Linked DNA regions of Astyanax mexicanus. The protein of the gene in region 1 interacts with the protein of each later gene in a pairwise test. Links are inferred from orthologs where the notes say so. Each region holds a gene or a part of one and is shown in the gene's direction. Other genes may lie near its edges. The genes, in order: adamtsl4, fbxw5, cpne7 and ammecr1.

Region 1 (7,495 bases):
AATAATTCGAAGTGAATTAACTTTGTTCTGACCTAGAGCACAAAAAATACAAAAATTATGGGGAAGTTCATAGAAAAAAACAATTTCCACAATATAAGTTTCTTTTATTTTACCAAATTAAAAACCTCTGGAATATAATCAAGAAGAAGATGGTTGAAAACCTCTGGATGATCACAAACCATCAATCCAAGCTGAACTGTTTGAATTGTTGCACCGGGAATGGCATAAAGTTATCCATAAGCAGTGTGTAAGACTGGTGGAGGAGAACATGACAAGATGCATAAAAAATGTGATTTAAAAATCATTTCTTATTTTCGGCAAATAAATGCTCTAAATGACAATATTTTTATTTGGAATTTGGGAGAAATGTTGTCCAAAGTTTATAGAATAAAACACCAATGTTCATTTTACTTAAACATATACCTGTACATAGCAAAATCAGATAAACTGATTCAGATACTGAAGTGGTCTAGGGCTGTAGATTAAAAACCCTTATATAATATAGCAACTCATTAAAACCGGTTGATAAATGTGCAGTTTTTATGTTTTTAATCAGAAATAAATGCAGCTTCCTTAGTTTTTTTACAGGCCTGTCTTGCATGGACCAGTACCGTGGACATGTTGACATATTGCAGCAGCAGGCCAAAGCAGACAATGCAGCGCCTAGGTATTTATATCTCCTGCTTCTGTGACCCATCACCAGTGCTGTAAACACAAAATAACAAGGTTTTAAGTTGTTCATATCAAAGCAGTTTTTGTCCAAGCCAGCATCATATACTTGCTATTTATACATCATACAGCAGCTTAAAACAATAAATGCATCCTATGGCATGGTTAAATCTGCCAGTTCAGTATAGTGTGGAGAGCTGTGTGTGTAAGTGTGAGTGTGTGAATGTGTGTGTGTGTGCATGCATGCCTGCCTGGTGAAGGAATTAAGTGGAATAAAAACAAATCTGAGCCCCTAACAAAGCTGTAACACTAACTACTTCATCCCAGAGGTATTCGCAGAGGTTGAGGTCAGGGCTGTGTGCCGGTCACTGGAGTTTCTCCACACCACACTCGTCAAACCATGTCGTTATAGACCTCATTCTGTGCACAGGGACAGAGTCACAGTGGAACAGGAAACTATTCCTTATACTGTTGCCACAGAGCTGGAAGCAAATAATAATGAGAAAAGTATTTGTATCTAAGTTTCACATTGTAACTAAGAAACCAATCACTGAGAATCAGCCCTAAATCATCATCCACCCTTCATCAGACTTTACTGGTGGAACCAAAGACTGTACAAAACATGGACACTGAGATTCCAGTATATTCCGTTTTATAGCAATAAAGACAAACGTGTCTGTGATGAAGAGACCAAAGTTAGGGCCAGTTATGCCTACTTATTTTTTAGACCCACACCCTTCTCCCAGACCGAGCTTGTCTCAGACTGCCTTCATTGAGTTAAGGAACCAGAAGCAAAGTGGATTTTAATGTTCCAACAGTTCCAACAGTGCAGTTCCTTTAAAATACAGTACAGTTAATATCTGGTTGCTACTGAGACAGGCTACTACCTGAGCTGCTGCAACAAAGTCAGCACACACCAGGTATAATTTACAAAAAAAAAAGAAAATACATTGCAATTTTTTATGGTATTTGGACACCAGAAAATAAATGTGATTAGATTCTTGGCAGAGAACAGATACTACAGAGTTCAGCATGTCTAACTACATTAATGTTAGCTGACTGGTTATCAAGTAATAAGATCATGTTTTTATCATAATTTTATACTAACATAAGACTCATCAAAAAACATTTTCCACCTACAAAAAAAAAACATTTTCCAAAGTGACCACATATCACAACACCATGTAATCAATAACATTATGAATACTAGTTGCCTGACAGCTCAACCACAACTCAGCTACTCCATCTAATAATGCAGAAGACTGTATCAATCATGATACAGTGTAATAACTGTTCCTCAAAATCAGTAAAAACTGATTTGTGAGGAATGAGAAAATTTTGCCTTCATTAGCACAGGGAAAACCAACTGTTGTAATTAGACACTGGAGATGGAATTAGAAATAAATGTTCTTTTTTGTTATTTAAACATGTGGGGATGAGCATTGCTACACATCTTACTGCAACAAGCCAACAGAGGCGTTCGACACTGAAGAGCAATTTATCAGTCTGGATAACACTGCTCAGTTTCTGGTTCATTGTATGTCACTGCAGCCTTTTACCACTTGCTTTGCACATGGTGATGATCTTAGGCATCCAGCATGCAGCTCAGTCATGGGAAAGGCTCTTTCATAAGGCTCTGACGAAAATGAAGTTGCCTTCAGTGACAGGTTGGAATTGATATTGAGTGATGCAACTGGTTTGGAATGATACAGACCAAGATAGATATATTAGATATTTACACTGTACATGAGAGTTTGCATTGTCTACCACTTCATGTCTGAGCTGTTGTTTTTTCTCCACATTTCTGTTTCACAATATTAGCACTCATAGTTGAACAGGGCAGCTCTAGCATGGTAGAATTTCATGATCTGACTTGTGGCCAATCTTAGAATTCTGCTACAGTGCTATGTTTAAAGTCACTGACCCTGTTTTCACTTGGTCACTTCATGTAACTAATATCTGTGTTGTATTATGATAAAATTTTAACCACATACATTTACGTACGAGTCAAATTCATGTCCAGATAGATGGACAATATTTTAATTGTTGCTTAAAATTGACAAATTTTACGTGACATTGTGCATGATTTTATATGCTGTTGTCCTCAATGATGATCTTTCTCACAGACACGAATCACATGCCAAATTATATACTACATGGGGAGGGGTTTCGTTTGTACTAGGACGTGTTTCGGTTGTTGAATGTGGCTTTTAGAGATGGATGCGTTTACACTGTTATAACATGGCTCAAATGCGTCATAAACTCCATTCACACCTTGCATTAACAATGTCCTGGGTAATCCGATCATAAGTGGACAGCACAAAGTAGAGGTGAGATGTTTCGAGCATGCACTGTAATCTGATCACTCAAACCATATTTAGAGGTAGTCAGAGACACATATTATACACATTATTCTAGTATTCTTAAAGAATTTCAATGCGTTCCTGACAGCAAAGCACTAGCCGCGTAAACCATGCCATTGCCAATGGCAGAACATATATAATACCAGAGGCCACACCGTCTACACAAGTTAGCTAGTTAGGTAATGCATACATTACACCAAACAAATTTTCAAGGGAGTTCACTGTCATAGACAAATATCCAGTGTCTGAATAAAATCATGAGAGTCTTTCTAGAGTAGATTTGCGGTTGTGTCATCTTGAACATTCAGTGTAAGGTGGTTAGGATTGAAGGTTTAAGTCAGTCTTTTTCTCATACTGGCGTTCAGATAAAATCAACTGTGTTTAACCGTGTTCTTGACTTGGCTCAACGAATAGTGACGTAAACAATTTTAACAGCCAACAGGAGAGCTACAGCAAGCAGCAAGGCAAGCGCATTCTGTGGTGTCTTGTCTTGTCTTGACTTTAATCAATTCAAATTTATTCTAGTCTTTTCAACGTTTTTTAGTGTATAGTTAGCATGACTTGGATTAAAGCAATACTTGTGACCGGTGTGCAAGTGAACTAAGTGCCTCGTCTATTTCTTATGCAAAGAATTAAGAGTCTTATTGTAAACTTTTTCAGTAGAAATGATGTGGGAAATCTGATATCTGCTGGTCACAGGAGAAGCATTTAAAATGGCAGGTGTGAACAGCTATAGGTTTTAGCAATCGTCTGTAATCGGATCACCCAGGATATGTTAATGATAGGTAAGAACTGGGACTTGGACCTCCTCCTGAAGTGGTTTAAGTGATCAGATTTGTGTCTGTTTTAATCTGTTTTGGGTGTGTTTACGTTTGTATTTTTATATGGCATGGCCTCATTTAGATATAATCCTGATACCCAAAATTCATAAAGAGACCAGGTGTATATGGGGTTCACTGTGCTCTCTAGCACCTCCTATTACACTGCCAAAGTTTTTATATGAAAATAGGATGTCTATGTGCCAACCTGAAAAAATGAAAATATGAACATTTGGATGTTGTGGGGAACACCTGGCTGCTTTTCATGGGCAACCTTCCACACAGAAGCTAAAGTAACAACAAATAGAACAGAAATAATACAAGAGCATGCACGTGAAAACACCCCACAGAGACACATTAGATAGGAATACACACTTAAGAGTGTGTGTGCACGTGTGTGCAGTTGTGTAATCCACACACTCTCCAGCCCCTTCACTCTCCAACCCCTTTAGGCCCCCCTGCTGTCCAACGTCACACCACTTCTCCACAAGGACAAAAAGGAAAAGTTGGTTAAACGACAGAAATGAAAAAAAGTGGCCCACCCCTCTCTTACCCCTGAGTAGGGGGTGGGGGGCGTGTGTGTGTGTTGTGTGTGTGCGAATGTGTGTGACTCAGCCAGAGGGAGAGGCAAAGTGACAGAGGAAAGAGAGAGAGAGAGAGAGAGTCCGAGTGTACGAGAGAAAGAGAGAGAGAGTCAGTGTGCAGAGGGAGAGAGTGAGTGTGTATGTGTGTGTGTGTGTGTGTGTGAGAGAGAGAGAGAAAGAGAGAGAGAGAGAGAGAGAGAGAGAGAGAGAGAGAGAGAGGAAAAAAGAAAAAAAAGTTGGACAGAGTTTTGGACACAGTTTCACTTCGTGCTTGAATCCGGATTTGGAAGCAGTAAGAAACCTGATTGGGGTTCAATACAGCGCGAGCAGCTCTGTAAGGAGAAGAGAGGGAGAAATTCAGAGGGAGGAAAAGAGAGAGAAGTGATAAAGAGGAAGAAAGAGTGAAAAAAAGAAAAAGAGAATGTGGCCTGGGTCTGTGTGCAGGTAAGCCCCTGTGTGTGGGTTTAACGTTATTATTAGCGCTGTTTAGTCTGGTTACGTTGGAGGTTAATGCCTCCAGCAATATTAACAAACTTCAGTCTCGTGTTTTTCGGTGTGTTTTGGTGTCATTTTTCAGTACACCAGCTTTTTTTGGCCCACGTGCTTCGTTTTTCCCCTGTATACACAGTTTCTCACACATTGTGTTTTTTTAGACCAATAAAAAGTCTCGTTTGTGCGTTAATTTCAGCAAGTGCCTCCTTCACGCGCCTTTTCACCGTTTTCCAAAGCTATAGCTCCACTGTAGCGACCGCATGGGCAGGCACGGATGGATAAGGCGATGGAGGGGTGGGTTGGTGGGTTTTTAGGGCTGGCTGGCTGCGTGGTGAAGAAGGTCTCAGTGCCCCCTTGCCCTTCCCCTCCCCTCGCTCTCCCCGGGAGCTTTTTGTGCCGCTGTCCGGCGCTGTTTTCGTTGGGGTTTCCGCGGTGGCGCGCAGCAATTATGGTTTTTGTGCAGCGTCCCATTACGTTCCGCTGCGGCTGCACGCAGACTGCACCGCGCCGATTTGGGGGGTCGAACCGAATCCGCAGATGCATGACTTAGAATAACACGAAAACCCCTCAGTGTCTGAAGTGATTAGCTCATGGTTTGATGGACAAATAAGCAGCAGAAGTTCTGCAGGACGGGTTGGAGGAGATGGAGGAACAGTGGTCAGGGGTAGGGTCTGGGCACTGAGCTGAGTTTACACTCAGGAGGACACACATCTGCTGAGATGGGTCTGGGCCAGTGTTTACCTCCAGCTCCAGAGCTGTGGTCTAGAGGTTTGTGTCCGCACAGCTGGAAAACTCCAACCTGTGCAGAGCAGGTGGACCTCAGAAGCAGCGGTGGTGGGGGTCTGTTGTAGTGTGTGTTGTTGTCTTTATGTATTTATGATAAGGTGCTGAATGAAGGCATGCTTATTGTTGAATTTCTAAAGCCCTATCTGGACGGGATTAGTTTCTCAGGGGGTATTGGGGGGATTTTCTCTTTTATGGGGGGTCCTCTGTGATTTTAATTAAATCACGCGTTTAATAAAATAGTTATTTGTCTACTGCCACGCAACGTGATTACAGTTTGGACGCACATAGATCCACGTAAACACAACAGCAAGTGGAAATGGAGGAGCTACTGAACACGATGTCTTGTGACCGAGAAAGCCAAAAAACTAATTGATCCTCCTGTCTTTTCAATTTCAGTCCGGAGTAGAAATGTTAAATATTTTTCACAGACGTCCCCCTGAGAAACGAATCCCGTCCGGGTAGGGCTTATGAGTATGTTGTGGTGTATAGTGGTTTCTATATTGTTTTAAGTGGGTGTGTGTGCTGGGATGTACAGTACAGTAGGTTGGTTGGTCCTTCTATTGTTATGTGCCTTGTTTTTGTGTGTATGGGATGCTGGTAGCTGGTTTCAGATGATCTAATCTGGTATATGGTGGTTAAGCTGGTTGAAAAGCTTCTTATCTAGACTGAACCATACTACACTGCCTGGTCGGAAAATGAAATGATCTCGATGCTCCCTGAACCACTGTTTTCCCTAAACCACTCTTTCACAACTCCAGCCCCATGAATTCTGGAATATGCTTGTGCCATCAGGGAAGAAAAAAAAATCAATTGATATATTCAAGTAGTCAGCTGACTTCATTCTTTCATCACATACTGTTGCTGAACCTATACCTGACCAACTGCAGCAACCCCAGATCACTTTTTTAGGCCAGGCAGTGTATATACTGGTAAACAAGCTGGTTGACCACCTCTTGACTAGCTGAGTACATGATGGATTTGTTTTTAGTCATGCTTTGCCATGCTGTTCATGCTGGTCGACAGATTTGGTTTTGCTGGTCATGCTGGATGTCTATCTTGGTCAGGTGGTTCATGCTTTTGGGTCTGATAAATCATAAAACTCAAACATACCTATGCTGGTCAAGATATAGGCTGGTCAACCAGCTTAACCAGCTTAAGATGGCCAGGTTCTTTTTTTTTCAGCATGGCATAAAGATCTGCATGCTGTTTTTACATCATACATACATCCATCTGTCCTAACAAGATTCCCAGTTCACCACAACACTTTTGGGATAGTGGTTGTTGGGCAGTGGGCACTCTGGTTCACATGGCGTTTTAAAATAAGGTAAATTAAGGTCTCATCTGACCACAAAATCCCATATAAAACAAATCCACTCTAGCATTTCTTTGGTGTATTCTTGAGTAATGCCTTTCATTACAGACATACAGACAGATATCCACACTTCTTTATATTGTTGATTGTTGTCAGCCAGTTAACTCTGTAGGTCCTTTAATGTGTTGGTCTGTTTGTATTGCCCCCTTCTTGTTCTGATTCTCAGTTTTTAGGATGTTATTTAGGCAGCGCCTAAGTGGTGTGGTTCAACTTTCATTTCCTCACATTTGTTTGAGAGCACTTAGTTGGATATGTAGTGTTGTCTAACATTTCCTGTATGTGCATTTCTTCCATTTTTTTCCTTAAGAATGCTTTCCATTTTTTGGTCTCATTATCGTGTATCCCAGCATTTAAGATTTAATTTACAGTATATAATGTGAATTTCCTTCCTGGCAGTTGCTTGCATGTTGA
Region 2 (7,799 bases), on another chromosome or scaffold:
TGCACAATTGTGGTTTTGCCAACAGCACAATCACCAGGACAAGGACGGGACTACGGGACTTGAGAGAGGGTTCAAAACTTAATGAATGCCTTGGAAATTGTAAATTCACCAAATATATTATACCAATTTAGGGGTTTGTGCTTTCTGCAACCACTTAGAAATAAGATTCATGAAGTTAAAATGAATGCTCTTAGCTTGGAAATTACATTCCCAACACCAACTTCACCAACTTCCCCCACGGTCGTAAATTCCGACGACAGCCGCTTATCTAAACACTCAGCAGAGAAGAGGAATTTCTCACTGAGAAGATTTTGCTTAAAATACATATATATTGACTATATAAAAAAGGTGTTTTATAGAATGTTTACTAGATAATGGTATATGTGTTTGGATGTGTCCTGATTAAATTCTCCTACACATTCAAGTCTGAATCAACAAGGTTTAACTAGCATTTGATAATTTAGCTTTATTTGGTTATCAGTGGTTTAACCATGTATTATCTTTTAAGTGATTTAATTGGGTTTAAATAATAACATGACTCTTGATCTCTTTCTGACAGAGTACCATCCATCATTGTATTCCTAAGATTATCTTGAGTATTACAAAACTGTTTGTGGGCAAAATATATATATATTACATTTATTGTGATTCAATTGTAAGATTGTTTGTTTCCTGAATTTATCCTCACAAACTGATATGCTGAAAAAGGTATTTTGATCCACTGTTTAATTGAGTTTTCTTTTGGTTTGATCTATTAGAAAAATGCTGAAGCATGTTGACCATGTGAGGAGGGGGGGTTTATGGCCCTTTGTGAATCCCCACCAAAGTTTGAAATTGCTCCTAGACCAATCAAAACACAGACATTTGGGCCACAGGGCCAATCATAGCTCAGGGGCCAAACAGGCCACAGAGACTAATAGTAAACTGGGCAGACACAGTTTTAGTTCAGTTGCCAGTTGAGTTTTGGGAGTTCAGGTCAGAGCAGTTGGAGGAGAAGCAGTTAGAGAAGGAGTTGGAGAAGATGAGTTGAGGAAAACAGTTAGAGGAGAGAGGTTAGGGAGCCAGAGATGGAGAAAGGATAGACCGTTAGTTTAGTCATCTTAAGTTAGTTTTCTTAGACTAGTGCATTTAATCTTCAAGTATATTAATATTAGCTATCCTAGTTAAAATATCTAAGGTTATTTTACAATCTACGAAGCCAAGCATTATTCCATCTAAGTTTAGCTAAAGTACAGCTGAAAAGGAGATCCGCCAGATCCAACCCAGAAACCTGCGGTCCGGAGGCCACCAGCAAGCCACCTGAGAGCGAAGGGATTTACCCTGTGGGTTCTACTGGGGCTCCGTGCTGACACAGGAAGTCCACCCACCCTGCAGACAGGCTCACGTGATCCTTTTTCGGGGTGAAGCAGCAGACGACCAACCCAGGCGGACGTCACCAAGGCTCACTTCAACAACTCAGAGTAAGGCAGAGCTGGGTTTAATCTTTCGGCAGATGGTGTCTGTTGGTCATGGTTTGGTCGGGTCTTTAATAGAGCGTCTTTAGTATAGATGACTCATTTTGAGTGGCTTGGTTGGAAATAAGAATTGGTTTCGTAGACTTAAAATGCCTTAGACCCTTATTTAGAAATACTCACTTAATAGTTATATTAATCTTTATTCCTTTCATATCAGCATTATAACGTGTTTGTTCTTTTATTTCTCATTTATCATTCTACACTATGATTTGATAGCTAATGGCTACATTTATGACTTTTTAATGAATTATTTACTCATATCTGTGTGATTTAATAAATACTTTTATTTTACAAAACCTGTCATTTCAGTGTGTTTTTCTGGATAACTTGGTTATGAAAATTTCTGTCACCTGTAGAAACCACACCCTGAGATGTCTTGTGTTATTAATTAATTTGATTAATTAATTAATTAATTAATTAATTAATTGATCTAATTAAATTAATTTAATAACTGGCGCCCAATTAAAAAATATTTCAACATCTCAATTAGCACCAGGTATTAAACCACTGAGCCGCTACAACAGGCAGTGTACTGGCTGGTGGTGATTGCTGGCTTGGCGGGGGGTTTTCCCATGCTGACAACACTTGCTGCTCTGAGGAGTCAAAAAACACATATGCGTGTCATTTTCCCGTAGTCACTGAATCAGTAATGGGTAACTTGGAAATATGAGTTCATGTGATTGTAAGGTTTTTGGCATACGTACGGTTACTGTGTCATCCTGTGTTTGTGACTGGACTTCCTGTGGGTCTGCAGCAGCCAGCCAGCTTTTCCCACAGGTAGCAAAGTCCTGATAGCAGAACGCATACATAACCATGTGATTCATTTTACATATTAGTTGACTTGACAAGCTTACAATGGAGTAACAACTCCTTAATAATATAATATAATAATATATCTGCCCCCTAATGTGTGGGCACAACATAATATATTGAGGACACAAATGCACTTCGTAGTTGCCATAAAATAATACACTGATATCGAACTAACTAAACTAATAATAATACCAAAAATAAAAAGACCATAAAAGTTATGCAGTTTACATTGAATGAAGCCACTAACCAATTTGGTTTATTTTTAATTTAAAAGCATTTTTTTTCATCTGAAAGTTTATTCATTTTTTTTTATTTTACTGAATAATTAATTTCTTTTTTTTATATAATGTTTTATAATGTTAATATTTATTGAACTTTTAATAGGAGAAGAATATAAACAGGGTATAGAATTAAACCGTTTCTCCCAAATAGCACATATAAATCTTAAATGCCCCCCTTCCTTACAACTCAACCCAAACAAAGAGACAACGAAAATGCTATAAGAAATATATATATATATATATATCTCCCATTACCTAGTTAGCTATAGCTATATTTCATACGGAAACTCCACTCTATTGTGGCCACACCCTATTATAACACATTGGGAACCTAAGGTAACTTGCTAATTATAAAACTGAACCATTTATTTATTTTTTATTTGAAAGTTTTTTATAATTTTTATATTTATTTCTGTTTTTTTAATGAGGCAGTGAGTGTACTACCTTTGGGCACAGCCTATTTTAACATATTAGGAGTTTTAAGTAAGAATATTATTGATTCATTGATTTATTTATTTTTTTAAATATATATTTATTGAACTGTTTAACAGGAGAAGGGTATTAACAGGGACTAGAATTAAACATGCCCCTCTAACTTACAACCCTACCCGAACATACAGATAACGAAAAATCTAAAACATATATTGAAAAATAAATAAATAAATGACAATGAAAGGTGATGCAGTTTACTTAGAACAAAGCCACAAAACAATTTGATTTATTTATTATTTAAAAGTGTTTTTTTTTGTGTGGCCACTTCCTATTATATTACATTGGGAACTTAAAGTAACTTTAGTTATACTACTGAACCATTGATTCATTTTTTATATAAAAGTGTGTTTTTCTTAATCATCTTTATGTTTATTTTTATTTTTTATTGTCAATGACTGTATTGCCTTTTGGCCACACCCTATTTGAACACATTGGGTACCTTAAGTAACTTGTTAGTTATTTTACTGAATCATTTCATTATTTTTATATAAGTGCTTTTTAATCATCTGATTATTTATTCCTGTTTTTCCCCCAGTGTAAATTTATTTAGGTACTTTCTTTAGATAGATAGATACTTTAACCTGCTAACTAGGTTTTAACAGTGGAGTAGTTTCCACTTGTGGTGATCTTTTAAATGTTTAAAATGTACAAATATTTAGGAAAAATAGTAAAGCTTTTTTTTTATTATTATATCACATTACCTAGATATCACATTACCTAATTAGATATAGTTATATTTCGTACAGAGAGTCCACTACTGTCTTGTGGCCACATCCTATTATAACACATTAGGAACCATAAGTAACATTTTAGTTAAATTACTGAATCATTAAATTATATAATTTATTTTAAATGGTTTTCTTTTTGTCAGTGAGAGTATTGCCTTGTGGCCACACCCTATTAGCTATAATACACTGAGAACCTTACGTTTTATTTCTATTTCTATCTTATTTTTTTATTATTTTAAAGTAATTTTTAATCATCTAAATGTTTATTTCTGTTTTTTCTCCCATTGTAAAATTCTTTAGGCACTTTATTTTACCTGTGGAGAAGCACTTGTGGTAAACAAATTAAAAATTTACAAATATTTAGAAAAATAGAGAAGCTTAATAGCTGTCATTTTAAATCATATCACATTACCTAGTTAGATATAGCTATATGTCATTCAGAAACTCCACTGTATTGCCTTGTGGCCAAATCCTAGTATAACACATTAGAAAGTAACTTGTTAGTTATATTACTTAAACATTAAATTATATTTTATTTAAAAGTGTTTTTGTTTTTTTTAATCATTTGAATGTTTATTCCTGTTTTTCTTCCAGAGTAAAATTCTTTAGGCGTTTTTTTTTTTTTTACCTGTAATTAGCTATATGTCATATATTATGTCATACAGAAACATCACTTAAATTAAAGTTACTAAAGAATGAGAGGTTAGGAATGAATGGTAAACTGAATATTGTCTGAACTTACCGCTCATTATTAATCAGCACAGCATGGTTTTCCTCTTTATAAGAGTGGGTTCGCTTTCCCAGATGATCTGGATTATTCCCGTGGAGAAGGAGAAGGAGTAATGGAATATAGCGGAACTGCGCAGTGTCAGATAACAGATATCTATCGTAGTGATCGGGTATTGATTAGTCTTTGCCTGATTACTCACCTTTCTATCAGTTTTCTGGCGCTCGGCTGGTGAGGTCTGGGAGCGGAGCTAGGCGGTTAGCCGGTGTTCTCGGATATTGGCTACACTTTCTCGTTTTGCTCCATAACTCTGGGGTTTGACAGGTAAGACTCGGTGGAGCGGAGTACTGACTGTCTGTGTGAAGAGTATAAATCCTGAACTGTGTCTGTAGCGCGTTTTAATCTCTGTTTATGAGCTGCCCAACATAATCAGGTTAGCTTTAGCGGTTACCCCTTTAGCCAGCTAGAGCTAGCCTAGCTCTGTTTTTAGCGAGTTCCACTGAAAGCTGATTCTCTCCACACACAAAACGCTGAAAATTAGCAGGTTAAAAGAGTTAACGCGGTTTAACTAGCTAATACTTATGTTCTAACACTTGTCCTACATTTTAATATACTTTAATACAAGTTATATCTGGCTTTCAGCCTGTAGGTAAGGACGTTAACCTTGGTAACTAGCGATAATCTCCATATGGAGTTTATAGCTAAGATGATCTAGGGTTAGTTAAGTTTGTTTAACGTTGTACGTTTCTCATCACTCAGTTGGTTAGTAAGTTAGCTAGTAAATCTGCTTACAAAAGTGGTTAATCTACTTGTTACACCAAGACATTGTCATTGATGAGTCTGTTTAAAATAGCACTACCAGAGCCCGTTAAAGTCTATGAGTTTCTTTAGTTGCCACAGGATTCATTAGATTTTATAGTAATTGTCCAGTGAGTAATTGCATAAAATAGATGTATCACAGTAAACTACTTTTACTAGCTTAAATAGAAATGTAGTAAACCCAAAGATAGATATTATATAGGTATAATTACCTAAAAATATTATTTTTTATAGTTGTCTAGAGTCTTAAAATATTCCCCTTAAATTGTCAGTTGTTATTTGATTTAACTATTCCCATACTCAACCTGCAAGAACAGTTTAAAATAATAAAGTGTCACTGTGCGGTTAAAGTGTCAGTGTAATTTTAAATATGTAATTGTCATTGTAGAGTGTCAGTGCAGTGTGTTGGCTAGGTGGAGTTTAAGAGTCTTACAGCTTCTGGAATTAAGCTGTTTCTCAGTCTTGTAGTTTTGCACTTGATGCTCTGCAGCCTGCGGATTTAGAAAACCGATTAAATTGAGGTTAGAACTAATCTAATACTTAAATTAATACCTAGATCTAATACTCAGTTGCTGATAAATTAAAAAGTTTACTTGGTGGTATATAGCTCCTTAGTGTTTTTCATACATCACCACTGATACACTTATCACAGTTTGAGAACCACTGCACTAGAGGAATTGGTTGTTAAATTATGGTAACAGATTTTTTTTTTACTGAGGCAACATGCTGTAAAGGTATCTCTCTGTCTTTCTATCCACCTGTCTATGTGATATCTTATTATGCTAAGGGAACATATTCTTAATTAGAAAGGACCTTTTAATACATCATATAAACCTTTCTTAAAACTTAGATTAGCGTTCTTAAAACTTCGATTAGTAGCTCTGTAAAACAAAAACTAGTAGGTTAACTACTTCTGTAAGCAGCTGCATGTATGCACTGAGCTATGGCTTGCCTCTGCTTTATTTAGAAAGGGAGAAAATGATCTGGAAGTTTCTATGTTTGCAAGTGGTCATGTTGCACCTAGAAAATGATCTTGATGGGTCTGTTTAGAATAGTACTACCAGTCCCTGTTAAACTTCCTTAGTTTTTTCTTAGTTGCCACAGGATACATTTGATTTTATAGTGATTGTCCAGTAAGCAGTTGCATAAAATTAAATTTACTATAACAGAATTGATTTATTGAATGAACAGATTGGAAACGTGGGCTGGTGCCAGTGTTTTTTATGTATTGGGAGGACTTTGGGACACATTAATTGTTTCCTAATCATTGCTGTAGAAAAAAAAAACTTTAGATCAAATGTCTCTACTGTTTAATTAAGTCTTAGTACTAGATTTTGGAGTATTGCTTAAAGGATTTGATTGCATTAAGCAGCAGGAACATTAGTAAGGTCCGAATGTTGGATGATCGTTACAAACACGCAACCCCATCCCACCACATCCTTATCTCCTGAACTCTTCCTAAAATTATTGGGGCACCATCATTCGAGAGAGCAAAAATCTACAGTTCAATACTGGGGGGCTTTATATCCTTCTAGCCCACACCTGGCTATAGACATAGTGTCTATAGATTTATGCTTATTTGCGCCAAAGAGTGATTCTGTTGACAGTTCTTTTCTACAGGGCTAGACAAACTGTGTGTGTATATTTCTATATCTCTATCTCTTTTCTAAAATATCCAAAACGTTTCTTAGTCTTCTCAGGTAGTAGAGGTGCTGTTTTGATTTCTAGTCTATAGAGCTGATTGTACAGGACCAAGAATGTAAGTAATACTGCCAAAACTAATGGAGGATGATGTTTGTGCTTCTCCCTCAGGATGTCAGGATGGAGAATGGTCCTGGCCTGCCAGACAGCCTGGTGCTGGAGATCTTCTTGCATCTTCCCCATGCTGCGGTGCTGAGGGCTGGCCTGGCATGCCGGCAGTGGTTTGCTGTATCTCGGGATGAGTTCTTGTGGAGGGAGCTTTTCTACAGCTACTACCGCATCCCACGCACTGTGCCCCGCCACCCAGGTACTGCAGATAGAAATATTGCACTGCCTTTGCATTTATTTTAACATTCTAGATAATATTACTATTTTAAAATTGTTATGAATTATTATACACATTCATGCTTGATCTGCAGTGAATATATCCTAATTTTTTTAACAAAAAAAAGAGGTAGTCAACGAAAGTTGGAACATGGGGCTTAGGCCTGTTATCAAAGAGAACAAAAAATGTAGTTAAGGACCATAATTTTTTCTATGTTTTTTTTTCTGCAGCGGCTGTGTCATGGTACAGGGAATTTAAAAGGCTGTATGACTGCATCCCATGCGTAGAGGTACAGACACTGAGGGAACATCATGACCAGGTCCTACACCTGGCCTTTTCTCACCGTGGACACCGTTTCTCGTCATGTTCCAAAGACTGCACTGTCAAGGTAAGATTCTT
Region 3 (6,974 bases), on another chromosome or scaffold:
ATTCAGTGACTCATCCCAAAAGTATTGAAGTGATTTGATGGATGCCGCTCATCTTTGCCTCTTACACTGTAACTCAGAAGTTGTTTAAACTCAAATGATTTAAGTCTGTTTTACATAACATTTAACATTTCTAAACAATACTCAACTTTTGTGTGCACATATACTGCACATTCAAACTGAGATCTTTGAGTTGAACCAACTTATATATAATAACTGAGTTTAGTCTGTTGCCATTAACAGCTTTTTTTCTATTGGCTTCTGTCACAATCTATTTGCATACTGGGTGTGTCCAACAGGTTCTGAGTTTCTGACACTCACCATCAGTGTGTAGTGATTCCCCCCTGCGCTACCTTAGAAATAAGTCAACTTCCCCTTTAGTTGTATTAACTTGATGTTTTAATTTATGCTAACTCAAGTTTAAATTCCCCATTATTAAATTTTTTTAAGGCAACCGGTTTACTACATTTTTTTTTAAGTAAATTCAGCTTAACTTAAGCCAGAGACTGTAAAAAAAGATGGACGGCGTGTCGCCGAATTCTGTGGGGATATAAAAATTTGACAATATAAGCAGAGGTTAAACTAGCTGTTGCATTTAAATAATGGAGGTAGAATTACAGTATATTAGAAAAAAACGTGATTGAAAGTTGTCTGTTTTGCCATTGAAACCTATAGAGATGGGTGGAGTTACACAGCTTTCTGCAGCCGAACAGCAGGGGGCGCCCGACCTGTGGTGGCTTCACTTTTAAGAGACGATGCTCTTTCCAGCTATATACAGTCTATGACTTAAGCTAACAGTGTAGAGACTTTTAGTTGATACTGCTACTGGTAATTGCAAATCACCTGTTAACATCATATTTTTGAAATCACAAATCAAAGCAACTTTTTCTTCAACCGCGGCGACCAATGACACGTTAGCAAGAAGCAGCAGAGCCAGTCCATGAGCTTGTGGGTGGTCTAAAGGGAAACTGGCTTCCGCTTGAGTGGTTGTTTTCTGCTTGGTCCTAGCGCCTGATCCATCTCTATTTAATATAGTGTGACATTGGATTTTAACCGTAAAAACTGCAGGGGACAGGTCCCCACCCCAAATGACGTCCGTGGGCGTCTGTGTGCTTATGTATCAGAGCTGGCGATCAGAACTGCATGGTGATGCTGCATTGGCAGAAGTTGGAAAAGAGGCAGAGTTTGACTTCACGTGTGTCACTTGTGTTGGAGGCACTGCATTTATGAAGGGTGGTTCATATAAGTGGGTGGGTTAATTGGCACAGCTAAATCGGGGGGAGAACTTTGCATTATGTGGAGGATATTTAAAACAGGTTGTCCCCACTTGCTCATCATAAAGGATCGTTTTTGTAAGAACCGTTCTTCAGGCAACCAAAAGTGGTTCTTCTGTGGCAGCTCTCCAAAGCACCATATTTAGCATCTCTTATGTTAAAGAGAGTAGTCATTTACGGACTATAAAGTGCTGAGGAGGAAACAGAAAAGCCATCTCGTCCAATTCTGGTGTGGAGCAGCTGCAAATGACTGCAGGCGCTGTGGGGAAAGTGAGAGACAGCTTGTGAGCTGCTGTGATTTGATGAGAGCAGGAGAAAGAAAAGGCATGAGAGGCGAGAAAAAACTAAAGTGGTGCATTCCTATGCGATTCCAGTGGTGAATTACTGTATAAACAGACTTGCACATATATACTCTATATGGACAAATGTAATGGGACACCTGCTCTTTTACTGTTGCTTCTGAAATCAATTATATTAAAATAAGTTTATTCTGCTTTTGTTGGAGTAACTGTCTTTACCATAGACTGTGTATAGCTGGACAGAGCATTGTCTCTCAAAAGTGAAGCCACCACAGGTCGGGCGCCCCCTGCTGTTCGGTTGCAGAAAGCTGTGTAAGCCCACCCATCCCCATAGTTTTCAATGGCAAAACAGACAACTTTCAATCACGTTTTTCCTCCAATATACTGTAATTCTACCGCCATTATTTAAATGCAACAGCTAGTGTAACCTCTGCTTATATTGTCAGATTTTTATATCCCTACAGAATTCATATTTTAAAACGTTATTCAGCTCTATTCAAAAAGGTGTTGTTATTGGTGTGTAAAAGGGCTGGGTAACACCTAGCCAGGGTGGGACCAATGACTGTATGGGCGGGACTATAGAGTGTGTATAGCTCTGTGGAGGCAGCCCTCAGGGGCGGGGTTATTTTAATGAGTAGGCTGTCTCTCCACAGTCTTTCTCCCTCCTCTGGTCTCTACTGCACAGACTCGGGTTTCAGGATCGCCAACATGGCGGAAAATTTTGGCTCCATTTTCATTGAATGAATGGGAGCGGCGACATGGCGTCCATCTTTTTTACAGTCTCTGGTCTTTACTATCCAGAAAAGACTATTAGATTACTTCTAGATTTTGGACAAATGCTGTGAACTGCCCACTTAATCCCCAACTCCCCAACTCCCCAATTCAAGTCATCCAAAATAATTTGATGGAGCTCCATCATTCCAGAGAACACAATTCCAATGCTGGGGCTTTATCCATCATATTTCGACACACCCACAAGCTTGGTGTGTGTATACATTTGCACATCTGTGTCTCCCATGGATATAACTTAAAATAGCTGATTGCATTCGTTAGAAGGCACAGCCACTGACATTTAGAAGCAATTTTGTTTTGTTTAGTTATTGACGAACGTTGTTTAAATGCCCAGAGATTGTCTTTTTCCCCTGAGCTTCAGTGATGAGAGGTTACATTATCAATAGCTAATGTTGTGTTGTTTTAAATGTGTTTGTGTCTTTGCATGAAATATAATTTTAAAGAGATCACTTCCTGTTAATACAAAACAGGTTAATACATTGATATTCTTTCTTCTTACCTGCCAAACCAAACCTGCACTATTATGATTAGTATATAGTATATACCTTATAGTATTCATGTGTAATATGCAACTGGGACTCATGCTCTTTTCTTGCTAACAAAAAAGTATTTTGTTACACATAACAGAGTAACTGATTATTTTGAAGTGGTCTCTTATTTTGTACCAGATATATATATATATATATATATATCTGGTATATTGGGGTTTTATTGTATAAACTTCTCTCCAAACATTTCCTATAAACATTTTGTCATTTAGGGCATTTATTTGCATAAAATAAGAAATTGTCAAAAAAATGAAAAAGGTACAGAGCTTTTAGACCTTAAATTATGCAAAGAAAACAAATTCGTATTCATTTGGAAAGAACAATTCTCATGTTTTAGGAGTTCAGAAATAACCCTAAATAACCCTGGTTTTAAATTACAGTTTTCATGCATCTTGGCATGTTCTCCTCCACCAGTCTTACACACTGCTTTTAGATATTTTTATGCCGCTGCTGGTGCAAAAATTCAAGCAGTTCAGCTTGGTTTAAGTGGTCTCTTTTTTTTTCTTTTTTTACAGACTTGTTTATATAGATGCCACAAAAAAGTGCATTTCTACTGTATTATATGCAATCAAGCAAAACTATAATTCTGATATTAGTCTGGAATGTCTTGTTTTGCTGCATATTGTTTATTTTTTGTTTCATATTTTAGTATTAACATCACTATCATTATCCAAAGCACCATCTTCAGCTTTCTGAGCATCTTTCACTCACCTCACTCGCTTTTATCTCTCTTCAACCACCCATACTCTCACTAGCCCCGCCCATCTGTACTCTGATTGGAGAATATCTTGTGAGTAGCTAATCCTAGCGTGGGGGGGCGGGGTTTCAAAGACAATCTCGGGCTAATGGGGTGGAATATGGGTGGGAAAAGAAATATCAACAATTTTTCTCTCTCTCTCTCTTCCCCATTCTCTCTCTCTCTCTCTCTCTCTCTCTCTCTCTCTCTCTCTCTCTCTCTCTTTCCCATTCTCTCTCTCTCTCTCTCTCTCTCTCTCTCTCTCTCTCTCTCTCTCTCTCTCTCTCTCTCCACCCATCCTTCCCTCTCCTGCTCTTCCTCTGCTCTCAGCTGCACATCAGTTTGGGAAATAATATTTGTAGCAGGCGCAGCCGGAGGAAACACACTGGAAACACTGGGGAAACAAGTGCGCCAGGGAAACAGGTAAGAGGCGCGAGCGCTCTGGAGCTGCGGGCTCGTGAGTTCAGCGTGTTTATTATCGTTTTTGACGGTGAAGTGATGAGTCTTGGTCACTGACTTTATCAGATCTGTTGCTTGCCTTTGTATGGAGGAAGCAATAAGCAGCAATTTACTGCAGCTTTTATTACTAAAATTATGATTAATAATATTATAATTAAAAATAATATTATTATGGGATGTATGTGTTTTATTGATTGGGCTTTGTGCATGTCTAAGCTTTGCCACGTGCAGCTAAAATCTTATTCAGGTTTTTCAACTTTCCACTTCTTTAGGAAGACGAGCAGTAAAGCATTCACTGTGAGCTAATAGTAATGATGATGGTGATGATGATGAAGGTGTGGGCTGGGTTCAATCATATTTTCTGAGGTTCTGTATACAGTGCAGTGTGTTGAATGTGCTGAATGGTGATGGGTGGGTTAGTAGAATGAATGAGCAAAAGATGACTAATGTTGTAGCTTTAATATCTTTTCAGTAGTTTAAATTCAGTTTCTGATTCAACTTCCGTTTAGATTAGATTAAATTCAGTCCATTTTAGGGATATAAAAAGGGATTGTCAGAAAAATTATGTTGTAAATGTACAAGCAACACTCAACCAACCATTACTGAACAAAATAGAGTTTACATGAAAACTGAACCCACATAAATTATTATGGCTTTGCTTTTGTCTAACATTTTAAAGATTGATCTCAGGGGCTTCGAGACGTCTAACAGAATAAGATGCTGTCACTTTCTGACATAATTCTGACACCAAACTCTGCTGTTTGGCATCAGCAGCCAGAGTCAGAGAGAGCACAGTTGGCTTATGCTCTCTCTGGGTGGGTACAGTAGGTGGCACACTCTCCGCACATCACTCTCATTGTGATGCTGGTTGGCACAGTCAGTTAGATGATGTATCAGATCTGGGGATCCTGCGCTTTCCTCCGAGTGCTGGCTACCCAGTGATGCTGCATCAACAGAGGTTGGAAATGAGGCTTGTTGCTTTTGTTGGGGGGGCAGTAGAACATAATAGGTGGGCATGTTGATAGTCATATTTTAAAGCCAGAGCTAATGATACTGGCTAATTTGATGCATGAAGTAAATAAATTAAAATGTTGCATGTGTCTTCAACAGAAAACGACGCATTATAGGGTTTCCTACTGCGTATACCTATTGAATGAAACATTCATGTTTAATTTGCCCTTATGTATCCATGTTTCTCATGATCACACTGACAGGACCTGTCGTACTGAACCAGAACGTCTCTGAATGAACTTCTCCAAACAGCCTGCTGCTTTTATATGACTCAAAAGAGCCAATCAGAAATAAGCAAAGAAATAATCTTCATGTTGCACAGCACAATGCTTTTTCGTGATTGGTTCAGAGATTTGTTCAGACATCATTTAAAAAAAATTGTTGCTTGGGGAGGGGGGCAAAAACTAAATTAAACTAAACTAAATCTCAGCCCCGGAGTTTTCTCCCTGCAATTGCAAATGTTTGAGGCATTGATAGTGATGGGGTACTTCATATGAACAGGCACTGAGTAAATGGAATAAAATAAAATAAAATAAAATATTAGAATTGAAAAAGGTCAATTCAATTCAGTTTCCAGTTCAAATTTACTCTATTCGACAGCAATTCATTGAGGGAAATTTCAGTTATGGTAAAAGATTTATCGAGACTTTCAGTGGACTAATGTTGTAATGATACAATCAACCCGACCTATTAAAATATTATTGTTTTTATGACAAATTAACCTAAAGCGGACATTGCAGGTTCGAATCCTGTTCATGCAGCTTGCCATCGGCTACCGGGGAGTACAGTAGATGGCGCTCTTCCCCCTCATCACTCCTAGGGTGATGTGGATCAGCACCAGGTGTCTGTGAGCTGATGAATTACATTACTAGATAGATAGATAGATAGATAGATTGAGTTGGTTGGGTAATTGACCTTGTAAATTGGGGAGAAAATGGGATAAAAATTTGAATTAAAAAAATTATCCAAAGCAGCTACATAGATTTTTAAATAAACAATAATACATTTTTATCGGACAATATCGGATAATTTGAATAAAGTGTGAACTGAATTAAATTGAAAAACAGATTATCTAAGCACTAATAAGCCTTAGTGGTAGCTTAGAATAGTTCTCTCTCTCTCTCTCTCTCTCTCTCTTTGTGTGTGTATGTGTGTATGTGTGTATTGTTTGTCGTCAATCATAAATCAGATGAGTCAGATCTTTTGTAGTTTGGTTCCTCTGGCATTTAGAAAATGTTCCAATATGTTTGATATTAACTTTAACAGCACAAATGCTGTTTATGCACAAGTTTTGAAGGTGTTTTCCCAAGGATCAGCCCCAAATCTATGTATTTAAACTTTTCTAGCTTAAAGGTGCAGTATGTAGTATTTTCCTACAGATATATTTTCTTTTAGTGACAAAGAAAGGCATTTTACAACCCATTAATTGCCTTGTACCCTCACAACCTGTTACAATGTGAGGTTCAGTGATTTATATTGTCTGGTAACATTCATTTTGTATGCCATTCATTACTCTGGTATTTTGAATAAAAAAACACTTATTGTACCTTTAACTGAACTCGATCTGGGCTCGGAGAGCTGTTCATATGCCCAGTGGTGCTGAAAGATGCAGCCTCTTTGGATCATTTGCTGCGTTTCCTATTATTTCAGGCTTTCAGGCTTTGTTTTAGTGCTTGTTGATCCGATCTCGTTCATCTTCAAGGAGATTTATGAGGGTGTACTCACTCTTTCAGGTGGTAGACACAGAGAAATGCCAGCCTGCTCTGTGTAAGAGAACAGTGCGGTTTTAATGTCAAGTGAAATAAAGGATTTGCCCGGTTAATACTGTATTAAAGTCAGTGGGTGAGCTGCACAGTGT
Region 4 (7,994 bases), on another chromosome or scaffold:
TTTTTTTAGTTAAGACTCAGACGTGTGTTTCTTTTGTTTGTGATTTAATAACTTAATAACAGCCCATTTTGAGTTAATTTAATTGTTTTTGTGGCCACAAACCCCTATGTATTTACCTGTAGCTACACAAATTCAGCCCATGACACTTTAGCCCTGCTTATTTACAAGTTCATTTAAAACAGATGATAGTTTGCACATATCACTGTGAAATTGACCTGGTGGTGTAATCATAGGCTTCTTTTGTGAAAATGTTACATACAATGCATGCAAATGTCTATTGGAAGGTTTGTGTCTGATTATGCTGCATTTCATTTACCTTGGAAGTTTGATGACTGCATAATTAAGCTGGAGCTTTGATACACTTGCGTCATCTTGCAGGGAGAGTCCCAGTGCACAGTGAGGAGCAATGAGCACCGTTCTAGCAGCAGAACAGTTCCAAGGACAGATACAGAAGACTGCATTCTTGGGTCACCAAGTTTCTGTAACTATGTTTAGATTCCATCTTCATAATAAAAAATGATTCTACAGTCATCAGGCCACCCTTGCAATCTGTTGGATTTAAACATCACTAGATCCTTTGGTGTGGAAAGTACAGATGCTTTCCTCTGTTCCGTAGAAATAAACATAAATTGTCTGCCATGTTATCTAATCTGCAACCAGAGTCTGAGACTTAACCTACTCAGTTGGTAGACCTGCCACACTTATGTTTGCCCAAGCCCCACAAACCACCTTCAATGCGTTAACAGCTCTGCCAAAAGGACCAGAAGCAGTGGAGTTTTTGACTGGATTCACAATTTGTGTAAAGTTCCATTAAGTGTAATGTTTTATCAGTAAAACTGCAGTTCATGTAGTTTTCATTTTCATTAAATTATGATTATGATTTAAATCGAATTAGAGCATCATGTATTTGTAATTGAACAGTATTTACATTTAGTCATATGTTCAAATCTAGAACTTTCTTTGTGCAAATGTTCACAATATAGGGAGCAACAATTAATTTGAGATATAGACAGAAACATGCATGAGTTGTGACGCATTTGCATAAAACACCTTGAAGAGCATTTTAAAAATGTTCTGTTTTCAGTCACCTAAAACTTACATGTGGACAGGGCCTAAGATTAACTGATAAACCAAGTACAATAATTCTGTGAAGATATATGGCAGTTTCTGTACATTTTGGAAAACTAAGCTTGTAAAATTTTCTGAAAGGAGAGATTGTGTTTGTTTGGCCAGTCAGAATAGTTTGACCTCTAATTAATTTAACATAACCATCAACGGCACATCTCTTGCTGTGCAGCTTTTACTTATGTCTTGCTGTGTTTACCTGTAATTAGGTCTGGCTCCCCATTGACTGGTCATTAAATAACATAATTTGCTGTTCTGTTGTGTTTGTATTTTGAATCAATGCCACATAAAGAATAAATTACAGGGTTTATTATACGGTATTATGCTTTTAGTGCTGCCTCTAGCTCAATCCATGTCCACTAAATTTACACACTGACAAAGGCGTATATCCATGTTTTGTCCTGATGAACTTGCTACCCCCAGCAAATCAGCACATGCAGCAGGGACAGGCTTGGGTTACACTGTGAAATATCACTTTTATGAAAGACCTGAAGGTGCCCTGTGGCTTGGAGGCTGCCTCAGTGTGTTCAGTTTTAACCTGTTGCCCTCAATCCTCAGTGCTGAGCTCAGCTATAAGAAACACCAGTGTCATCCATTTACAGCACTGATTCAGGCATCAGCAGCATATCCTGGAAATGGTATAATCCTAATTGCTTTTTTTGAAGGTATGAGCACGTTTTAGTGATTCTGCCGTCAGCGCATTCTGGGGATGTCTTAAGTGTGGTCCATGCAGATCATCATTTCACTTGAAGACTGATAAGCCATAACATTAACACCACCTCTGCACTCATTGTCCATATTGTATATCAGCTCCACTGACCCTATAGAAACCTTTGTAGTTATTAGGGGAATTATAGACTATAGTCCTTCTGTTTCTTTGCATACTTTAGTATCCCCCTTTCACTCTGTTCTTTACTGGTCAGGTCTCCACAGGATCACCACAGTGCAAGTATTGTTTGGGTGGCCAGTTATTCTCAGCCACTATGGTGGTGGTGTATTCGTTAGTTTTGTTCTGGTACGAATGGATCAAACACAGCAGTGCTGCTGGAATTTTTAAACAGTGTCCACTCACTGTTCATTCTTTTATACACTCCTACCTAGATGATCATCGGTTTCTGCACAGGTTGTGTTGGTTATCCTCTAGTCCTTTATCAGTGGTCACAGGACGAGTTGGTTCTGGTTGGTGGACTTCTCAGTGCAGCAAGGACACATAGGTGTCACTGCAGTGCTGAGAATGATCACCTAACTAATACCTGCTCTGTGGCCGGCGGTCCTGGGCTCCTATAACATCATGTAATTATGGAACTACAAAGTTCCATATATATGGTCAGTCAAGCTGATAAAATAGACAGAATAAATAGAATATACGTATAAACAAGGAGATGGTAATATTGACTGATCAGTGTAACTATTGTACAGCTCTGGAAAAAAATTATGAGACTAATTCAGTTTCTGAATAAGTTTCTCTTATTTTGCTTTTATAGGTACATGTTTGATTAAAATTGAGTAGTATTCTCTAAACTACGGACAACCTTTCCCCCAAATTCCAAATAAAATTATAGTCATTTTGAGCATTTATTTGCAGAAAATGAGGTGGCTGAAATAACCGATCAGATAATTCAAAGAAAACAAGTTCCTATTCATAAAGTTTTAAGAGTTCAGAAAACCCTGGTGTTTGGCATGTCTTCCTCTATCAGTCTTACACACTGCTTTTGGATAACTTTATGGCACTCCTGGTTCAAAATTCAAGCAGTTTAGCTTGGTTTGATGGCTGTCATCATCCATTTTCCTCTTGATTATATTCCAGAGGTTTTCAAGTTGGTAAAAATCTAAGAAAATCATTGTTAAGTGCTCTCTTATTTTTTAAAGCGGTATATTAAATGTTTAACATTTAACTGTAATGTGATTTTGTAATTTATGTTCTTGTGTCCTAAAAAGCAAATGAGTCCAACAAATCCATCCATTAAACATAATGTCCATGCTTTATTTAAACATAAATATAGCCATTTTATTTAGAATCCAAATCCACCAATGACTCTGATGCTCCTTTTTGCACGTACTGCCTAATGCCAACATAAAAGACTCACTAACGTATGTGGGCAGTAAATGTTATATAATTTAAACCTGACATATGTATTCATTTTGGGAGTATAAATACACCTAGGGCATTTGATTGAAGTTGTTATCCAGAGAGACTTTCTACTCTGGATGTTCTACTCTGAAAGCTGTGAGAGCCTCACCAACACAGTGTTCAGAATCCAAGATGGCTGCATGGTACATCAACCGTAATAAAAGTAGTAGTGTTATTCAGTTTCTTAGCACCTTTATGTATTTGTGTCTCATACATAAATAACTGTCTAACTGTCTGTGGACAGATTAATTGTGTTTGCATGTGTAAAATACAGAATATTTTGCAGTGTTTAACTGGAACATCAAGTGTGTGACATAAATTCCAGCTCTGCCATCTCACTTTCAAGAAAAATGTGGAGTTCTCCTTTCAATGAGCTGTGCGATTAGCTGTAAAAATTTTATTGTATTATCTGCATTTTCTCATTGTATGAGGGTGTTGGTTACATTAACTTTTTTATAGGGCCAACCCAAACATCTTCACTGGCAAAAGCTGACTTGCCCTGGTCTACATACTTCTGGATTCTTCTCAGTAATTTGCAGGCATGTTTGATGTCAAGAATGTGTCAACCCTAACCTTCGATATTAGAGCTGAGAAAACACTGATAAGGCAAGGAAAACTTCAAGGAAAGGTTCTTAATGTGTTTTTTGGATGGCGAACAAATGTATTTCTTAGATTTGGTCTTGGATTTGATATTTTAGCCTTGTGTAAATGACCCAAGAGAAAGTCAAAATATCTTCACTTAAAAGAAAGAAGATTTCGAGATGAGGAGCTCCAGGTTTCCTGTGACGAGAAAGAGCTGCAGCCTACCTTGGTGTCCTGTGAGCTCTGGTGAATAATAATGAATGATGTTGTGTGTAGGCTGCTGACATTTTGCTAGACTGGGGGTATTTGAATGAATAGGGAGAACACGCCAGGACATCCTCCCTGTTCAGTCAGTCGCTGGGTGCTGAGCACACATTTGGCTGTGTGTCGGTTGGAGCTAATAGATAGCTTAGCTAGCTTTTTCCTTTTCCTCCTCCTGACCTGCTCTCTCTCTCTCTCTGTCTCTTTCTCCACTATAGGATGAAGATGGGCAAGAACAGATGAAGACTTCACTAAATGAAGACTGTTAACGTTACATGACAAATCGTTGAGTGAAGAAAACAACGGCTCCGTGAGAGGATTCTGCCTCAGCATTTTTTCCTTTTAATTCTCACGTAGCCGAGATTGAGAATACAGATTCGCGGAGCTGCGAAGAATACGCAAGATGCGTAGCTACGAAGTGTGCGTAAACTAGTTACGTTCTCTTCTGGATTCTGGGTTCGGCGTGCACGAAGTGAATACGGCTCTTGAATACGCTTCGGGTTGGTCGCATAGCTAGGACCCTCTTTCTCCCCCTCCTCCTCCTCGCCTCCTCCACATTAACCTAACGTTAGCTAAACTGCAACCGGGCTTTCATGTCAGTCGCTGGGACTGGACTAGCGAGCACGTGCGGCTGGGGGGAGAGCGTCCGGAGACTTCTGATGGACGGGGACTTCTGTCTCGAGCCGTTCAAAACAAAAGCAAAAAAATGTGCCCTAATAAACGGATGGCAACGTTAAAAGCCGTGGAGAGAAAACTTTCCAGTTTGCTCAGTCTGCTTCTCGCAGTGCTGGTGGGGTTACTGTAAAAAGAGCCGTAGCTGGGGGTGAAGGTGGGGGTGAGCCGGGGGTGAGCCAGGGGGAGGTGGGTGTAATAGCGAGGCTACTGCGCATTGAGGGGACGGCCGGTGTTTCGCTGGGCTTTCGCGCAGATGAAATGACTCTCTGCGTCTCTCTGGCGCTGTCAAAAAAGCCGAACTGCAGCGGTGCCTGAAAAAAAGAAAGCGCCATCCTAGCTGCGGATAACTTGTGCTATTCGGAGCCTTTCTATATATCCTTCCAGAGGGAGAGGAGGAGGAAGAAGCCGGCCGGCCGACTCTTTCTAGCTAGCTGGCTGGCTAGCCAAGGTCGGATGCAAGTAAACAACCGATAAAAAGAAAGCACTAGCCGGGGCGTAGCGAGCCGTATGGGTCCTGCGTACTCAAAAAAGCCCCCCATTTCCACACGGGAAGCTGCGCTGTGTCTGTGCTGTTAAGGAAGGGAGGGAGGTGGACCGGGGAGACAGCTAGCTAGAGAGAAGGGGACGGTGGACGCTGGTCCTGCTCCTGCTCCGCCGCGTCCTGAAGCCTCTCGACTCTCGACTTCCACGCCCTTTTTTGCCTGTTTGTTTTTTGCACACTGTGGATGTCTGCGCGCTTTGACAGAGACTCGTGTTGCGAGCTGCAGCGGCGAGGGGCCTGCTGCCGCTGCCCCCATCAACAAACACTGCGAACACCGCGGCTCCGTCCAAGCGTCGTTGGCTTTGCAGAGGTTCGCAGCTGGCTGGCCGCCTGCTTACGGACATTGCGTACGACCGCAGCGTACGATACGGCCGTTGGAGAAGCTCGGGTGACATTGCAGAGGCTCTCCTCTGCGTGCGTGGTGCGTTCGTTCGTAGTCCCACACACTTTCCCGCACACTCCCTAGTTAACCTAACTCCCTACAGCCCCCCCTCAGCTCTCCGCCCCACCGCCCCCCCCCCCAGTCAAACTACTCCGGGTGTTAGCTCGCTAGCTACGCCGCTCGTCGGACGGGAGCGGGAGGAGGAGGGAAGAGGAAAGAAGGAGGAGGGAAAGGTGGAGCATCGTCCGTCGTACGCCCTGACGCAGTGGGACTTTTACGTGTGGTCGGCGTTTCCCCCCGCCCTTCCCGCGGTGACGGTGATGGGTCGGAAGCGGTGTGTCGGTGCAGATTGTTCGAAGATGGCGGCCGGGTGCTGCGGGGTGAAGAAGCAGAAGTTGTCGGGATCCCCCGGCTCGGGGGGGCCCGGCGGGGCGGGGAGCGGGGTGGCAGGGGCCGGACACTGCGGATCGGACTTGGGGATCGGGTCCTCCTCCACCGTGGTGGCCGGCAGCGTGAATCGGGTGAACGGCCTGGGGGGTCCTGGGGGTAGCGGCGGCAGCAGCGGCGGCGGAGGAGGAGGCAGCAGCGGCAACTCCACCGCTCTGTCCCCAACTCCGGGAGGCTACAACTCTACCGGCCTCTCTCCGAACCTCAGCCCCGGTCCTGGCTCTGGAAGCGGGGCCAGGAAGATGGTAGTGTCGGCGGAGATGTGTTGCTTCTGCTTCGACGTGCTTTATTGCCATCTATACGGATACCAGCCTCCCCGAACACCCAGGTTTACAAACGACCCCTAGTAAGTAGCGGGATGGCTAAGTTAGCTTAACTGGCTAAAATAGCAGCTAAGTAGTGATGTTCTCGGTCTTTGTCAACCTAAAGAAGCCTAAAGAAATATGACTTGAAGTAGTTTAGCTAAGGAGTCTTGCCTGCTTTTCAGTAAACACTGACACGAGTCACCATTAACCTATATTTTCTTGCTACTTTATTAACTACCAAATGCTTAAATGTATTTCCCTGGTAACTTTCAACTTTTGTGTTCAGATAGAGTTAGCTAAGTAGGTGGCTACGATTGAAAACATTTGTAGTTTTAGATATTTCTCTAAAAAAGTAACCTATCTAACTTCAATCAACTCGTCGCCTAAGGAAGGAGAAAAAAGTGCCCGAGTTCCTTTATTTACTAAAGCCGCTGTTGTTTGAATGAACTTCAAGTAGCTGGACTATTTACCACGAAAACACTGACTGGTGTGAGCTTACGGGTTTAATGCTAGCTAGCGGTTAGCCAACTTAGTCCGGATTAATTTTTTATCAGATACACTGGCCGAGCGTCCCACTTTATTTCAGCTAAAGCTAATTCTCTGGGTTAGTGTGGGTTTCTTATACTATAAATACGGTCAAACAAATTTCAAAAACACGTAGGTAAATAACTGGATTGTTATCAAACATACGGTAGTTTATGTGTGTCTCTTTTGTGTGCTCTTGCTAACGCTCTGTTGGGTGATGTTTTACAGTGAACTGAATTATGAACCCGTTAGCTACGCTAGCTAGCTAACCAAGCTGCACACGTTAGCTAAGCTTGTTCGGCTAGCCACGAATATTAGCCAGCTAGCTCACTTGCCAGTGAAATTCCTGAAATTACACAGAATTTCGACACCAGTTCTTTCCACGTTTATAATTAGTTCCTTTGGCTGGCTTGTTTTTGTCAAGCATAATGTCGGCTAAAAACAGCCAAGCGCTTTAGCTGTCTATCTATTTATCTAGGTGTGCATCTAGCAGTCATTGGCTAGCTTAGCTAGCTAGCGCTAGATTGGTTAGCTAACAAAGCCGGAGTTGTTTACGGTGCCTTTAACAGCAGAGCAGTGTAGTTTTAAAGTCGACTCCCTAGCATATTTCCAGCTAGGCTTAATTGGCGTTTCTCTGCTTATATTAATTTGGGTGGTTGAGGTTAGTTATTAGCAAACCCAATTACTTAATTTAAGGACATGTCCAGTCTGCGAAAGCTAACCCTGCAAATAAACATCACTGTAGCGCGAATGAGTGACCGGTCAGTTTTTGCTGCTTTGTTCGGTAGCGTTAGCTGGGTTAACACTAGCCAGCACATTGGTGGACGAATCACCCAGACCATGTTGTTTGCTTGCTATTCAAGTTAAAATAGAGGTAGATAACAACCTAAGGTAGGTTGACTAGTTAACATAGGTAAAATATGACTCCAGCAAATATGGATCCGTTTAGACCTCCACTTGAGTAGCAGTACACAAACATTTGCCTTTAAATGTATTTAATTTGTGAATGTAAAAGTACCG

The links.
Region 2: the proteins of adamtsl4 (region 1) and fbxw5 interact in binary tests that used the Homo sapiens proteins (3 or more experiments, as listed by UniProt). The two-hybrid records come from large-scale screens. The link is inferred for Astyanax mexicanus from reciprocal best matches to the Homo sapiens genes ADAMTSL4 and FBXW5.
Region 3: the proteins of adamtsl4 (region 1) and cpne7 interact in binary tests that used the Homo sapiens proteins (3 or more experiments, as listed by UniProt). The two-hybrid records come from large-scale screens. The link is inferred for Astyanax mexicanus from reciprocal best matches to the Homo sapiens genes ADAMTSL4 and CPNE7.
Region 4: the proteins of adamtsl4 (region 1) and ammecr1 interact in binary tests that used the Homo sapiens proteins (3 or more experiments, as listed by UniProt). The two-hybrid records come from large-scale screens. The link is inferred for Astyanax mexicanus from reciprocal best matches to the Homo sapiens genes ADAMTSL4 and AMMECR1.

Annotation. Positions count from the first base shown.
Region 1 is NC_064413.1:29,579,680-29,587,174, forward strand, and holds the start of adamtsl4 (thrombospondin type-1 domain-containing protein 4), read left to right. Parts: upstream 1-4,480; 5' UTR 4,481-4,855; coding exon 4,856-4,878; intron 4,879-7,495. UniProt on the Homo sapiens protein: Positive regulation of apoptosis. May facilitate FBN1 microfibril biogenesis.
Region 2 is NC_064408.1:19,868,375-19,876,173, forward strand, and holds the start of fbxw5 (F-box/WD repeat-containing protein 5), read left to right. Parts: upstream 1-4,775; 5' UTR 4,776-4,879; intron 4,880-7,186; 5' UTR 7,187-7,195; coding exon 7,196-7,382; intron 7,383-7,630; coding exon 7,631-7,788; intron 7,789-7,799. UniProt on the Homo sapiens protein: Substrate recognition component of both SCF (SKP1-CUL1-F-box protein) and DCX (DDB1-CUL4-X-box) E3 ubiquitin-protein ligase complexes.
Region 3 is NC_064423.1:36,516,989-36,523,962, forward strand, and holds the start of cpne7 (copine-7), read left to right. Parts: upstream 1-3,938; 5' UTR 3,939-4,069; intron 4,070-6,974. UniProt on the Homo sapiens protein: Calcium-dependent phospholipid-binding protein that may play a role in calcium-mediated intracellular processes.
Region 4 is NC_064424.1:19,971,440-19,979,433, reverse strand, and holds the start of ammecr1 (AMME syndrome candidate gene 1 protein), read left to right. Parts: upstream 1-4,968; 5' UTR 4,969-6,017; coding exon 6,018-6,490; intron 6,491-7,994.